2 linked regions of the Drosophila melanogaster genome follow. The protein of the gene in region 1 interacts with the protein of each later gene in a pairwise test. Each region holds a gene or a part of one and is shown on either strand. Other genes may lie near its edges.

The links. The genes of interacting proteins can lie anywhere in the genome.
Region 2: the proteins of sens-2 (region 1) and phol interact in a two-hybrid assay, tested with the Drosophila melanogaster proteins (one large-scale study listed by BioGRID).

The regions. Positions count from the first base shown.
Region 1 is NT_033779.5:6,819,501-6,825,478, reverse strand, and holds the start of sens-2 (senseless-2), read right to left. Parts: upstream 3,546-5,978; 5' UTR 2,880-3,545; coding exon 2,420-2,879; intron 1-2,419.
Region 2 is NT_037436.4:9,452,303-9,458,750, forward strand, and holds phol (pleiohomeotic like), read right to left. Parts: upstream 3,980-6,448; 5' UTR 3,436-3,979; intron 3,341-3,435; 5' UTR 3,238-3,340; coding exon 1,228-3,237; 3' UTR 501-1,227; downstream 1-500. Other genes in the region: ghi (ghiberti), read left to right, coding at 1-141; CG3437 (uncharacterized protein), read right to left, coding at 4,096-4,378, 4,464-5,000, 5,060-5,233, 5,292-5,347; CG3552 (uncharacterized protein), read left to right, coding at 5,687-6,055, 6,109-6,448.

The sequences.
Region 1 (5,978 bases):
AATTCGTGACTCACAAGTGCCGGTGTCAAAGTTCTATTTTATTTCAGTCGACGCATTAGAGTCGCAGGCATCATTAATTGAGTCATACGGCGGTGGCAAATGACAAAAATTAAGATCATCCACTCGTGGGTGTGTGGTTGGTTGGCTAATGGGAAATCGAGACAATATTTCAGACTGACCTTTCGGGGCAAGGTTGTGTCTCAATGGTTGAAAAGATAAGTGGTACACAGCAAGCTACTCTATTCTATACGAGGTTAAGCTATTAATTACTGACTTTAAAATGCTGCACAGAGAAGGAGCAAGAAATTCTAAGATTCCACATAACATTGCAATAACTGATGCCTACTTTCAGGATACAATATCATCTCCTTTTAATCCATTAAATTCAAAGGCTTAAACTGCAGTGCCATACAGATTTTCACAAAGTTTACGTCCTTCAACAGGAGGGGCCAATCAGTCACCAAAGAGCCCTGCGAACTTTCGCCACATCAACCAATATATATTGTCCCACCAAAAACCGAGAAAATATTCCAACAAACAAAGCGAAATTCATTTTCTCTAGAGAAAGAATAAGGTTGGAAAAGAGGGGGGGGGGGAAGTCGGGGTGCTTGTCGCGGCAAACGGAATTGAAAATTCAGTGTGCGAGTGTGTGTTTGCGTGCGTCTGTGTGTGTGTGTGTCTGGTGTGTGTGTCTGCTTTTCCGCATATCCATGTCTGTGCTGGAAGCGGTGGAGAGCTAAAAACATATCCGTTGGATACATGTAATGCCGGTAAATGAAATCCGCTTGTCGCTGCCCTGTGTGTGTTGATTCTGTATCTGTGTGTGTGTGTGAGTGGGGAAATATGGGAGGGAAGATAGACTGAGAGAGGGGAGATACACTCACACACACATGACGGTCAGTGCTGACAGCTTGGCTGGAAAAGTCCGAATCTACTTAAAGTTTGGAAAAAGGAGACACAGCTGTCTGCATCTAGCTAGTGAAAGATTAAAACAAAATTGGTTCATACTGAAATCCATTTTATAAGGAATTTAATTTCTTAAAGTCCTTTTAAAGCCAAATTGTTCGGTTCATTTCGGACAACACTGAAGCTTGTGGATCCCGTGCGAACGCTCATTCATTCATTCAATGCCCATATTTGAAATTCAACAGCGATGGCGATGACAACGCCGTCTGCACACAGATACACAAGCACACTTGTGTGTGTGGATGTATCTGGACTGGACTGGACTGAACTGTGTATCTACAAGTTTGTTCGATGGTTTGCCGTTCGCAGCCGTATCTGTATCTGTGTATCTGTGGTCCAGCTATGGATTTTTCAATCCCCGATATCCATTTTTCCGCCCCAATGTCCGCACAGAAGATTTGCCCATTAAGCGTCGCGCTCACTCACACACACACACACACACACACACACACAAACGGAATAATGAATATCCCGGCCAGCTCCTGCTGCCCCCGAACAATTTTTGCTTTCCACGCTTTCCCACCGTACTTGGGCTTTTTTCCAATTAAACCGACACCGTGCAGCCTTTGGGCTTTCACTCGGACATGGCCAGTGTGTGATATTTTAAAATCACACATTATTCAAATAAATTTTTAAAAATTCCTACATTGCCCGCTGACCAGCCTTTGGGGGATTTGTAGCCACTCGCCGCGGATTGGAGTCTCACCGTTTCTGTTTCGGTTTCTGTGTTGTTGATTTCAGTCCCTTTTGTTTTCATTTTTTTTTTTAATTAACTCGGGGCATATGAAATGTGGTGGGAGTGTGATTGGGTTTATGCCAATCTGTTCGCAGGCTGCACAAAAATTTAATTTGATAAATGTTGATACTCAGAAATGCGCTGAATATCATTCACTGCATTTTTTTTTAACGATCTATTGATTTACTAATATTTAAATAGAGTAAATTCTTCAGAAATCTCTGAGAAACTTGGTCAGATTTAATTTTAAGGAATTATTTTATTTAAATATTAAAATCTATATTTGATGAATTTTTCTAGCAAAATTTTGAAATATTTACGAGACTACTTAATTTTTTAGAAATACAAAATGATAACTTTCTAAATGGAATAAATAATATGCAATTGGAATATGCATCTATATTTATATGTGGAAGGCTTTTTTTGAAATACGAAGTAATTAATTATTGATACAATTTATAGTGATTGTATAAATAAATTGCCACAGGTTTGCCACTGAATTTCAATAAATATAAATCATCACATATAAAAATGAGCAATCAACCACATTCAAAAGTGAATTATTTGGAGACAATGAACTTGATACGATTTATGCACTTAACAAAATTTTACAGAACTCAATTTCACTTAGTGACAAGAACTAAAATCCCAATTGCTGACGGATTTTCAAAGCTTTTACGATTGAGCATGCAAATATAGTGAGTGATTCCGGCTTACCGTCGGAGTTTCGCTTCTTGGGCAGCACCGCTTTGAAGGCGGACATAGGCGCGTACTCGTGCGGCGACGTGGAGGCCGGCGGCATCTGTGGCTGCGGGTGATTCGGATTGGGATTGGGATTCTGTGCCGGCTGCTGCTGGTGGTGGCCCAAGGCCGCGTCCGCGGACATCTGTATGCGCTGGTGAAGCAGCTGGGTGGGCGAGGGTATCGTGGCCATGGCCGTCAGCGCGCTGAGATCGCGCACCTGCAGCGGAACGGTGGCGGCGGCGGAGGAGGAGGCGGAATTGGAGGCCGACGAGGATTGCTGGCTGGTGAGGAAGGGTCCGGGAAAGTCAGACGCGATGGCTGGCTTAAAGTTGCCCAGGCTGTAGTCGAGGGGCAGGTGGTGTTGGTGGGCGGGCGGTGCGGCCGGATGCAGCAGATGCTGACCGGAAGTGGCTTGCATTTTGGCCACGTCCATAACGGTTTTATCACTGATTCAATAAGTTTTTTTTTTCTATATGTTTATCTTTGGATTAGCTTAGGCTTTTATCAGCTGGCTTTGGTTCTTTTGATTTGGCACTGAAACTGTTTGGTTTTTACGCGACGGCATGCGAATGCGGTTACGGTGGCGTATACGCAACGTGGCTACCGGAAGGAAGTGTCACAGATTTAGGGCTTTAATGCTGCTGCTGCTGCTCTGACTGCTGATGCTGCTGCTACTGGGCGCATAACTGCTGGCTTCGGCGTCATCGAGCGGACTGAAGCACCGTAAAAACCTAATCACGGATCCGTGGAACGCTGACGCCGGCGCCCGACCGAGAGTGAATCTCTGCTGCCGAGCTTGGAAAACTCTGCTGGCGCCGCAGCTGCTGCTGCTTCTGGCGCTGCTGCTGCTGCTGCGGCTGCTGCTGCTCCTGCACTTGACTTTTAGCCAGGGATTCGGAGTGCGGCCAAGTGCCATATGCTGTGTATGCCAAGTGTTGCGATTTTCGCCTAGATTTGGCAGCGACGTCGACGCTGGCAGCGACGTCAGCGAGAGAACGGCTCTCGTTGTATATACGATTCGATGTGAATGCCCGCTCGGATGCGGATTGCTGCTGCTCCGATTTTACCGCTGTCAGCGAGCGTCTGCAGGCGACTGACGAGCGGAGCGGCAATCGAGTTTCCACTCAGCGGAAACGCTATCACCACCACCACTGCGTTGCGGCGATGCGAGTGCGAGCGAGACGACGGCTGGTTCCAATTGGAACGGCGGAATAATGTCCAAGTGGAATCGGAACAGCAACCACCATTTGCCATTCTCGTGGCCACGCCCCCTTTCCAGCTGGCCATGGTTAATCTGGATTTTTGGTAGCTTGTTGTTGGTATTTTTAGTGCGCATACCGCTTTGATTCGTTCAAATCAATGCCACCGCCGAACAATGGTGGCAAGTGGGTGATGGTGGGAGTTGGTTAGCGAAGTGGATGGGTGTTGGGTGGTGTGCGTGTGCTGGGCGCGTGTTTGCTGGCCTTTGGTTTGGTAATACCTGCTCTGCTTTTGGGGGCGGGCTCTCTGGATTTTCTGCGATTTTCTATCTTCTTTTTCTTTTCTTTGTAGATCAGCTCAAACCGCCATCGATTTGGTAATCGCTGTTGTCTCTGGCGTTTGAAGTGCGCCGCGCCATTTAATTTCAAGTGGTTCGTGGCACCTCGGCAAACACTAATGTCGCATTCCTCGCACTTGACTATCCCCCAATCGCCTTTGCCTTTGGCAGCTCTGACTTGGCACTTGCGATTGGTTTTTGCGCCATTAACTTCAAATGCTTTCTGCCTCGGCGAACGGTGGCTAAGTGATTTCCTGGGGGCCAAAGTTGGTTGCCACTTCGCATGGCTGTTTGATTTTATTCAGCCAAAGGGCTTTTCACCTCTTATTGTTTGCCATTTAGTTATGGCTTCAAGTGTGTAATTTCATTATCTATGCTGGGAAATTGGTTTTCATACTACTCAGCAGATACGTGACTAGAAGTAACAACAGAGAAGATTTAGATGATCTCCTTCGGGAACTATTATTAAAACAATACATTTTTAATTGTGCCAACCTTTTTAAAGGAATATATAAGCCAAATCTACCAAATGTTGAATCAAAAGTACACAATATAGGGATAGTCTTTAAGTTTAAAGCAGATGCATTTCTTAGCAGAAATTAGAATATTTTCAGTTTGAAATTCCAACAGAAAATTCTGAAAAAAAGCAGAAGCTGGTGGTTCCCCAATAGCTTCTTAATTTTGGGGGGACAACTTTGGAACAAAGCTTTCTGTGAACCATAAATTAGACAATTTTGACAGGCATCTAATTTTTTTAAAAACTCATGCATTTAATTGCGACATTAAAAGCACAACTCGGAAAACAAATGCACAATGGTGGTGGGGGATCTTTAAATGCCTTGAAAATAAAAAAAAAAAAATCGTCTGGTTGAGGCGCACATGTCGTTGGGCGCCCCTCGAAATTATGACAAATATTTACAAAACACAAAGAGCTAATGTTCCCATTTCATCGGTCGCATAAATAAGTGTTATGAGCTCCCGTTTGTCCCTCCAGTCTTCGCCACAGATTTGAATATCTTTCTGGGCGTCCCAGATCCCAGCTACGGATTATTGGTGTCACTCGGTTTTGGCATCGTTCCTCCAACACATGGCAACGATTTAAAGAATTACACACCAAATTTAGTGCGTCGAGGATGGAGTGTGAACAAGTGGAGTGCTCTTCGCTCCGATTCCCATCGGATTGGTAGAGATCCCATTCCCTATCTGCTCTACTTCCAATTAGAGAAGCGTCTACAAATCTGACTGATATGCAGAGGAGATTGACGTGCGTCCATTAAAATGCGACGGAATTTGCTAGTCGAGCAAAATGAAGAATGAAGGGAGTGTCAGCAATTAGGAACATCTATTTCACTATAAACTTTAAATAACACTATAAGTTAAACAAATCCTATCCCGCAAGAAATTACATAGAGTAGTTATTATAAGGCTAGACATCATATATGGTAGTCTGATAACTCAACCGGCTTTTATTTGAAAACGCTATCTATGCACTCGCATTGCCATATCACCGTAGAAGTGTAAGCAGCTATCGTTTTTGAACAATTCGAATCGTTACAATTCGATTGGATTCTATATTGCCCGGTTGTAATCAAGAACCGAAATGAAGTTTTATAATGGATAATAAAATATATTTTTGACATGAATTTTCAATCAGAATTTTAATAGCCCTTAATAATAACATGGCTATCAGTTATCAGCGCACACAATCGGTTATCAGAGTAATTTTCGTCGGTTCGCTCTATTCTCTACACAGAAAGAAATGAAGTGGGATATTCAAAGTGGTAAATATAATATTGTATATTTGTGTGCTGATTGGTTAAACGAGAAACAGAGAGTTAGTTGCATATATAGAACCAGTAGGGAATTATAGCGCAGTAGAAGCAAAGTGTATGTCCTACTTGATCTTTGTTTGAATTGGATAAGTATATTTATGGGATATGGTATCATTTACATAATCAAATATAATAGTTTCCCGGTGTAGAATAGTGACAGAAT
Region 2 (6,448 bases), on another chromosome or scaffold:
ATTTTCATGGTACTCTTCTGCGTTTTCTGGTACTTCAACTACTCCGTGCTGCTCTCGCTGGCCGGATTGATTGGCCCAACAAGTGCCTCCATCGCGGATATTATTCCCGGAGTTCAAGGACATGGGCTCAAGGTCACCTAAAATACCGATCAGACCATGCCCAGACCAATCGTGTGTACTGTTCTCCGTTCCAATATCCAAAATAGCCGCGTATCTGTACCTCGCCGCGATGCTTTATCTAATCCGCACGCGTTTATACACCGCAATCAATGAATGGAACGTAGCTGTAGGCGACACATGTCCAAAGAGGCGATCTAATCGCTTGCTGATCCGAATCTGAAGTGGACAACACCCGGCGACTGTCCATCAATAGCTGCCTCACCGTTTAATGTAGTTATCTAGCAGTAGTTACAAGTTTAAAGTCAGTTAATAAATCTAACGCTTACACAATCGCACTGTGAAATAGTTAAAAAAAGAAATGATAAATGATATACGCAAGTGTTGTTGCATTGTTTTCCTGGTTTATTTTTGTTTAATTTTGAAGAGGTATTTCCCTTGTTTATTCCGACTTAACTGATGTGCTTCCATTTGTGAATTATTGTTAGCGCCAACAGACGTTGAACATGCTAAATCCGTACTTCAATGCTCTAAGTGTTATAATTCATTACAAAAATATATAGATAGCCTATGGTGTATGCGTATTGAATATGGTAAAACTAGTTTTGTGTATTTTTCTTATTTTTTTGTTTGTTTTGTTTTCGTAGAAAAGAAAGTGCGCGTTTTGTTATTCGAGCGAAGATCGCACACGATTAGTATCAGATCAAATTGGGGCTTTTTAAGGTGACAGTTTGGCTGAGTTCTTCGGGGATTACGGTTCAGTTTTGGTTTTGCGGGGGGACTCACTTAGCCTACGGTACAAGCTAAACTCTTAGAACTGCTCTTCATCCGTGAAGGAAATTAATTAATGGCTACCATCTAACTTCCTTTTGCACTGCAATCCTATTTTGTTAGAGAATGAACTTACACTACTTACTTAAAGGGCGGGCAGCGGGCGGATGTGTTCACCAGGTGACAATCTTGTCCGGCCGCTCCGCTCGTTACAGGTTACAGATACAGATAAAAACTGGCTACAACTAACTGTACAATAATGCCTTCCGGAGCCAAAGGAGCTTTAATATTTTAACCATCTCATGCCAATACCTGCCACACATTAAAGCGCACTACTAGTTAGGATGTTAGGGACGTGCCATCCAGCAGCACCGACGCCACCTCCTCGTTCTGTTCTACGTACACTAGACGAGGATCCTCGCCAAACTCCAGTCGCCCGTATCTGGCCACCAGCGGTGTCTTGTTGTTGCTCACTTGCGGTGCGCGCGGCCACTTCCTTTTGGGCTTCGTGTGCGTCAGCATGTGGGACTTGAGGTTCGTTGACTGGGCGAAGCACTTGGAGCAGCCATCAATGGGACAGTGGTAGGGCCTATCGCCAGTGTGTATCCGTACGTGGGTGCGCAGATTGAAGTCCAGCGAGAAGCGCTTGCCGCACCCCTCAAAGGTGCACTCAAAGGGCTTCTCGCCGGTGTGCACCAGCTGGTGGCGCTTTAGCTTGGAGCTCTCTACAAAGCTCTTGCCGCAGACGTTGCACACATGACCGCGCGGTCCGTGCGTGTGCATGTGCTTGCGCATGGCCGAGTGGTTGCGAAACTCCTTGTTGCAGCCGCGATGGGTGCAGCGAAACTTTGGCTCCTCATCCTCTTCGCCGGCCGCGCCAGCTGCTCCCATGGCATTACCAGCCGTCTGATTGGCCACTGCAGTCGGTAATTTGGTTACAATTGTGGGTCGTTGGGGTCGGGCTGGATTGCTGGAAGCCACTAGTGGCGGTGGGGGATTTGGTGTCGCCACCTGAGCCGCCGCCGTGAGTTGCCTCTTTGTCACCTTTGACTGATTTCCCGCACTTTTCAGTCGCACATTGGTGCTGCTGTTCTGGAGCACTAGTTTTGGGAGAGCCGGCTGTGGATTCGGTACACATCCGTTGACCTTCGATAGCGCTACCGACACAGTGGCTGGACCTGGTCCCGGTGTCTGTATCAGCTCCACATTATTCGGCATGTTCTCGATAAGCTCGATGTTACCATAAGCTTCTTCCAACTGGTTTTCCGCATAGATCAACTGTTCACTTAGCGGCTGGCTGTCCTCCTCGCCTTTGACATCGCCCATAAATGCATTAACCACCTCCTCCACATCCGTGACCGCAGAGGCGCTGAATGGATCGGGTAGGATGACGTACTCGTTGCCGATGCCATCGCTTAAAACATCGTGGTTGATCATGTGCTCGTCAATAATAAGCTTTGGCATGCTGGGTGATCCTTCATTCTGGGCGGCGGAGGAGGACGTCACGGATGTGGTGCCAGCACAACCAGGTGGTTCCTCCAACTCCTCCTCCTCGTCCTCATCCTCCGAGTTGAGCGAGGACCAAAGGGTGACATTGAACTCATCCTGCGTTATGCGTATGGGTACCTTTGTTTGCTTCCAGCGCTTGGCCGCTGAATTTCCCATGGGCCTCTCGACGCGACTGCTTCCAAATAGCTTAAAATCCTGCAGCTGGCCATTCGAACTGTTTGAATCCTCGGTCGCCTTCATATAGAAGTCGCTCTCGAGCTGCTCCTCCTTGATGTTTGTGGCCTCGATGGTGGTTAGCATCTCGGAGGCAATCTCGAAGGCATTTGTCGTAGCCGGCGCGGTAGCCTCATCATCCTCATCGCCATCGCCATCGCAGGAGGATGTCATCTGCTGTCCATCCTCCTCGATGAATTCCTCATCGTCGCTGGTCTGCTGCATGATGATCGGCGGCGGCAGTGCATCTGCCGTAGCCACCGTGACCGAGGTAAGTCTGTCCAGCCGATCCACCGGATAGTATTCATAGTGCTCAAAGAATTCGCCTGAGTCTACGACGATATTAGCCTCATCATCATAGTCGTCGATGATCTCCTCGATCAGGAAGCTCTCGCTTTCCTCGCCCATCGGATCGCCCGCCAAAACGGTGTACGGATCTTGCTCGACTATGGTAGCCGCCGTAGGCTGGTGTGCATGAGTGAAGTATGCCGACGACGGGGCGGAGTGCAGGGGCAACGGTACCGCCGCAGCGGCCAGCGATAGATTCTTCACGATGGGCGCTCGTATCTGATGCAGTTGAGGCTGGAAGTTCCCTCCGACGCCGACGTGATGATGATGACTTGTCATCGCGGCTGCTCCGTCTGCCTGTCTGTGTGCCTGTATCTGTATGCTTGTATTTGTGGGCGCTCTTGCTTCGTGCGTGAGTGTTAGTGTTGTGTGTGCGAGCGCGCTGCGGAAAAAGTGGGCAATTAGTATCTGGCCAAAAATCCGTATTATGTATATATCTCTATATATTCGCCAGACTTCCAAAGTGGACAAACGTACGTGTTTTCGTCGGTATTGCTGCACTGAACTGGCCTTTCCCTCCACCTCTTTTTCCACTTTTTTGTGGCCAATGCCTATCGTTTATTGTGCGACGGCGGCGGCAGACGGCGAATGATGCGTACCGCTCGCTCCGCTCCGCCCGCCACTCTCCTGCTGCCCAATGGCGGGTTAATTCTCGCTTTGGATGACCACCTCGATCCCGCTCACCTCGGGCAGTGTAAATATTTTGAATTTTGCCGGTTAATATGGCGGAATTGTATTTTCCAGAAACGGCTCGGTACTTTCTCTCGCGTTGCGTGTGTGGGGTGTGTGTGTGTGTAGTGTGCAGCGACAGGCGCCACAATGCAACCCTGCGCGCGCTTTGTGTATATCTTAAGCGGTTTATTCAGCGGAGATTGGTTATTCTCTTCGCATTACTTCGCAAAACAGCACAAATGTAATCTTAACTACTATTCAAAAATTGCATTTTATTAACCTCCAACTGGCAAACCATTTATTAGCTGTAAATACCGCGGCGTTCTGTCTTTCGATAAGCGATAGGTTTGTTGTTCTGCCACCAGGGTTGCCACCCGACAAGAAAACAAATGCGCAATAACAATAAATTAATCTCCATGGCTTTACTATTATTTCGAGCTATTTACAATTGTTGCTCATAAATAACTAGTTAAATTTCTTTAGCAATAGAACTTCTGGAATATAAATACGCTTCAGCTTCGACTCCACAAAGCGCTCGTGTTGGGGTGTAAATACCTCTGCATTGTGGTTAAAATCAGTCTTATTAAATTGCACCGCCTTCCTATCCGCTGTTAAGGATATATTATAATGCCGACATTGGTCCTGCAATCCTGTTGGCCCATCGAACAACAGTAAACGCAACAAGTAAGGAACCGGCACCGTAAGCTGTTTGTTGTTGTAGGCATGCGTGAAAATCTGCAACAAACTCCTGCAAATATACATACATACATATGTATTTACATTAAAAATGCATCATGTCAATAAGAGATCCAATAGAAAAAGTTATACTGTACCTCCTTATCACCTGCAACTTGGCGGCAGCTACCGCGCACAGAATATGCGGCAATTGTGGCACACCCATGAGCACTCTATACAAATTGCCCTGTTGGAAGGCCAAACAGATCCCAAAACAAAGCTTAAACGTCGCATCCCGACGCACATAGTCCGGTAAGGTGAGGGCGCGTGTAAAGGACTCGGGAGAACCCAGATTAAACAATTGATACAGGCTCTCTATGAAGCAGCGCCGCTCAAGCTCACGAACGGTGGGTTCTCTAGATGATTCCAAGTCCTCCAGTTCTTCGTAACAGCAAAGCACTCCCGTGAGGCACTCTTGCAAATGCTGATTGCATATCTTGAGATCGAACTTCTCGATGGGCTCCTCACACAAGCGATAGCGACTATATGCCAGAAACATCACAATGGGCTCTAACAGGCAAATCTTCTGACTGGCATCGTACATCTGGATCACGATCTCCCGACGCACCGCCCTCAATCGATCGAATATGAAGTCGTAAGCCACATTGTACGGCTTTCGTGTGTCCAGGATTATGCTGCACAGTATATTAATTATCAGATTTAACTTGGCTAACTAAGCGCCTAATATACTTGCTCCTTGAGCAGATATTCCACTGTTTTGGTCAATGCCGCTTCTGTGCGCATTTCCTTGGGCATGGGCATCTTGACATCGGCGGCGGAGCGTGTAAACTCCTTGACCAGGACTCCTGGCTTGTTCTTCTGGCCATTTTTTAGCTCGAAATAGTGCAAAAGCTTCTCGCGAATACGCCTGAATGTATTAAACGGTGTTATTATATTAAATTCGGGTTTAAATTTCGTTTACCTACATTTTCGCCTCCCCATCGGGACAGAAACTTTCGCAAGATCCTCGAACTTGGGCCATTTGTTGATGAATGCAGCCAATTTCAGCAGCAAACAAACCAGGGATGCAGGTCTTTTGGATCAAAGGCGTAGCTCAAATTTTTTAATGGGGTTCAGAAAATAAAATATGCTTCTTAAATCTCGTACGCCAGCTTCTAACTAATAAAATTCCGAAATTGGGACTTTATTAGGATCCATATTTATAAAAACGAACGCGCTGACTCGTTTTTTTTTTTAACCCTCTTGCCACGCCGCTGAAGTCAGCAATCAGCTGTCTGGGCGGTCTGGGTTGTCAGGTTGTCTGGGCCTTAAAATTGTACTAAATTTTCAGTTTGTTTTTCCCTGCCCAGCACAAAACGAAATGTTTTCGCGGCATTTCGCAGCCTTCTTTCGATTCAACCGATATGTTGCCCAAAAATACAGCAGTTTTATAGCCGCCGGCTTTAGCAACAGGTTTTCGCTGAAGGTTGCAACTCTGCTGCCGCTGGTAGTCCTCCGATCCGCGGATTGCAGGCAAAAAGAGGACCAGGAGGTAAAGCGACCGGTCCGTAGGCGAACCATGAGCAAGGTTAAGTACGAGACGAGTCTGGAGGGGAGGGCGCAGCTCTATCTCAACGCCATGAAGGTGAGATGGGACCAGCTGCACAAGGTGCCCGGGCTGTTTTCATATCAATTGGAGAAATCCCCTCAGAGCCGGAAAATACCAGGATACTGGGGCTTCTATGCGGAGGTGAGTGTCATATTCTTGTTCTCTAGTAATATTTATTGATTCTTGTCCTCCAGCTTAATTCAGATCGAAACCGTAAGCGCCGACGTCCCCAGACCATCGAGAGCCTCAATCCCACCTTTAAGCACATGATGTTCAACTTCAATAAAGTCGATGCCCAGGAGGTGATCATGACCATTGATGATGCACACGGCAGTCCCGAAGTTCAGATGATCATAAACAAGAGCCCAATCACCAAATATCATACTTTGATCTGCCCGGAAGTAGGTAAAAACCATACCCAACGGATTACCCGTGACGCTCTTCAGTTCTGCATCACCTTTATGCGAAATATCGATGATAAGGATATGCGGATGGGTTATAATAGCCCTGGAGCGCTGGCATCTGTAAATCACC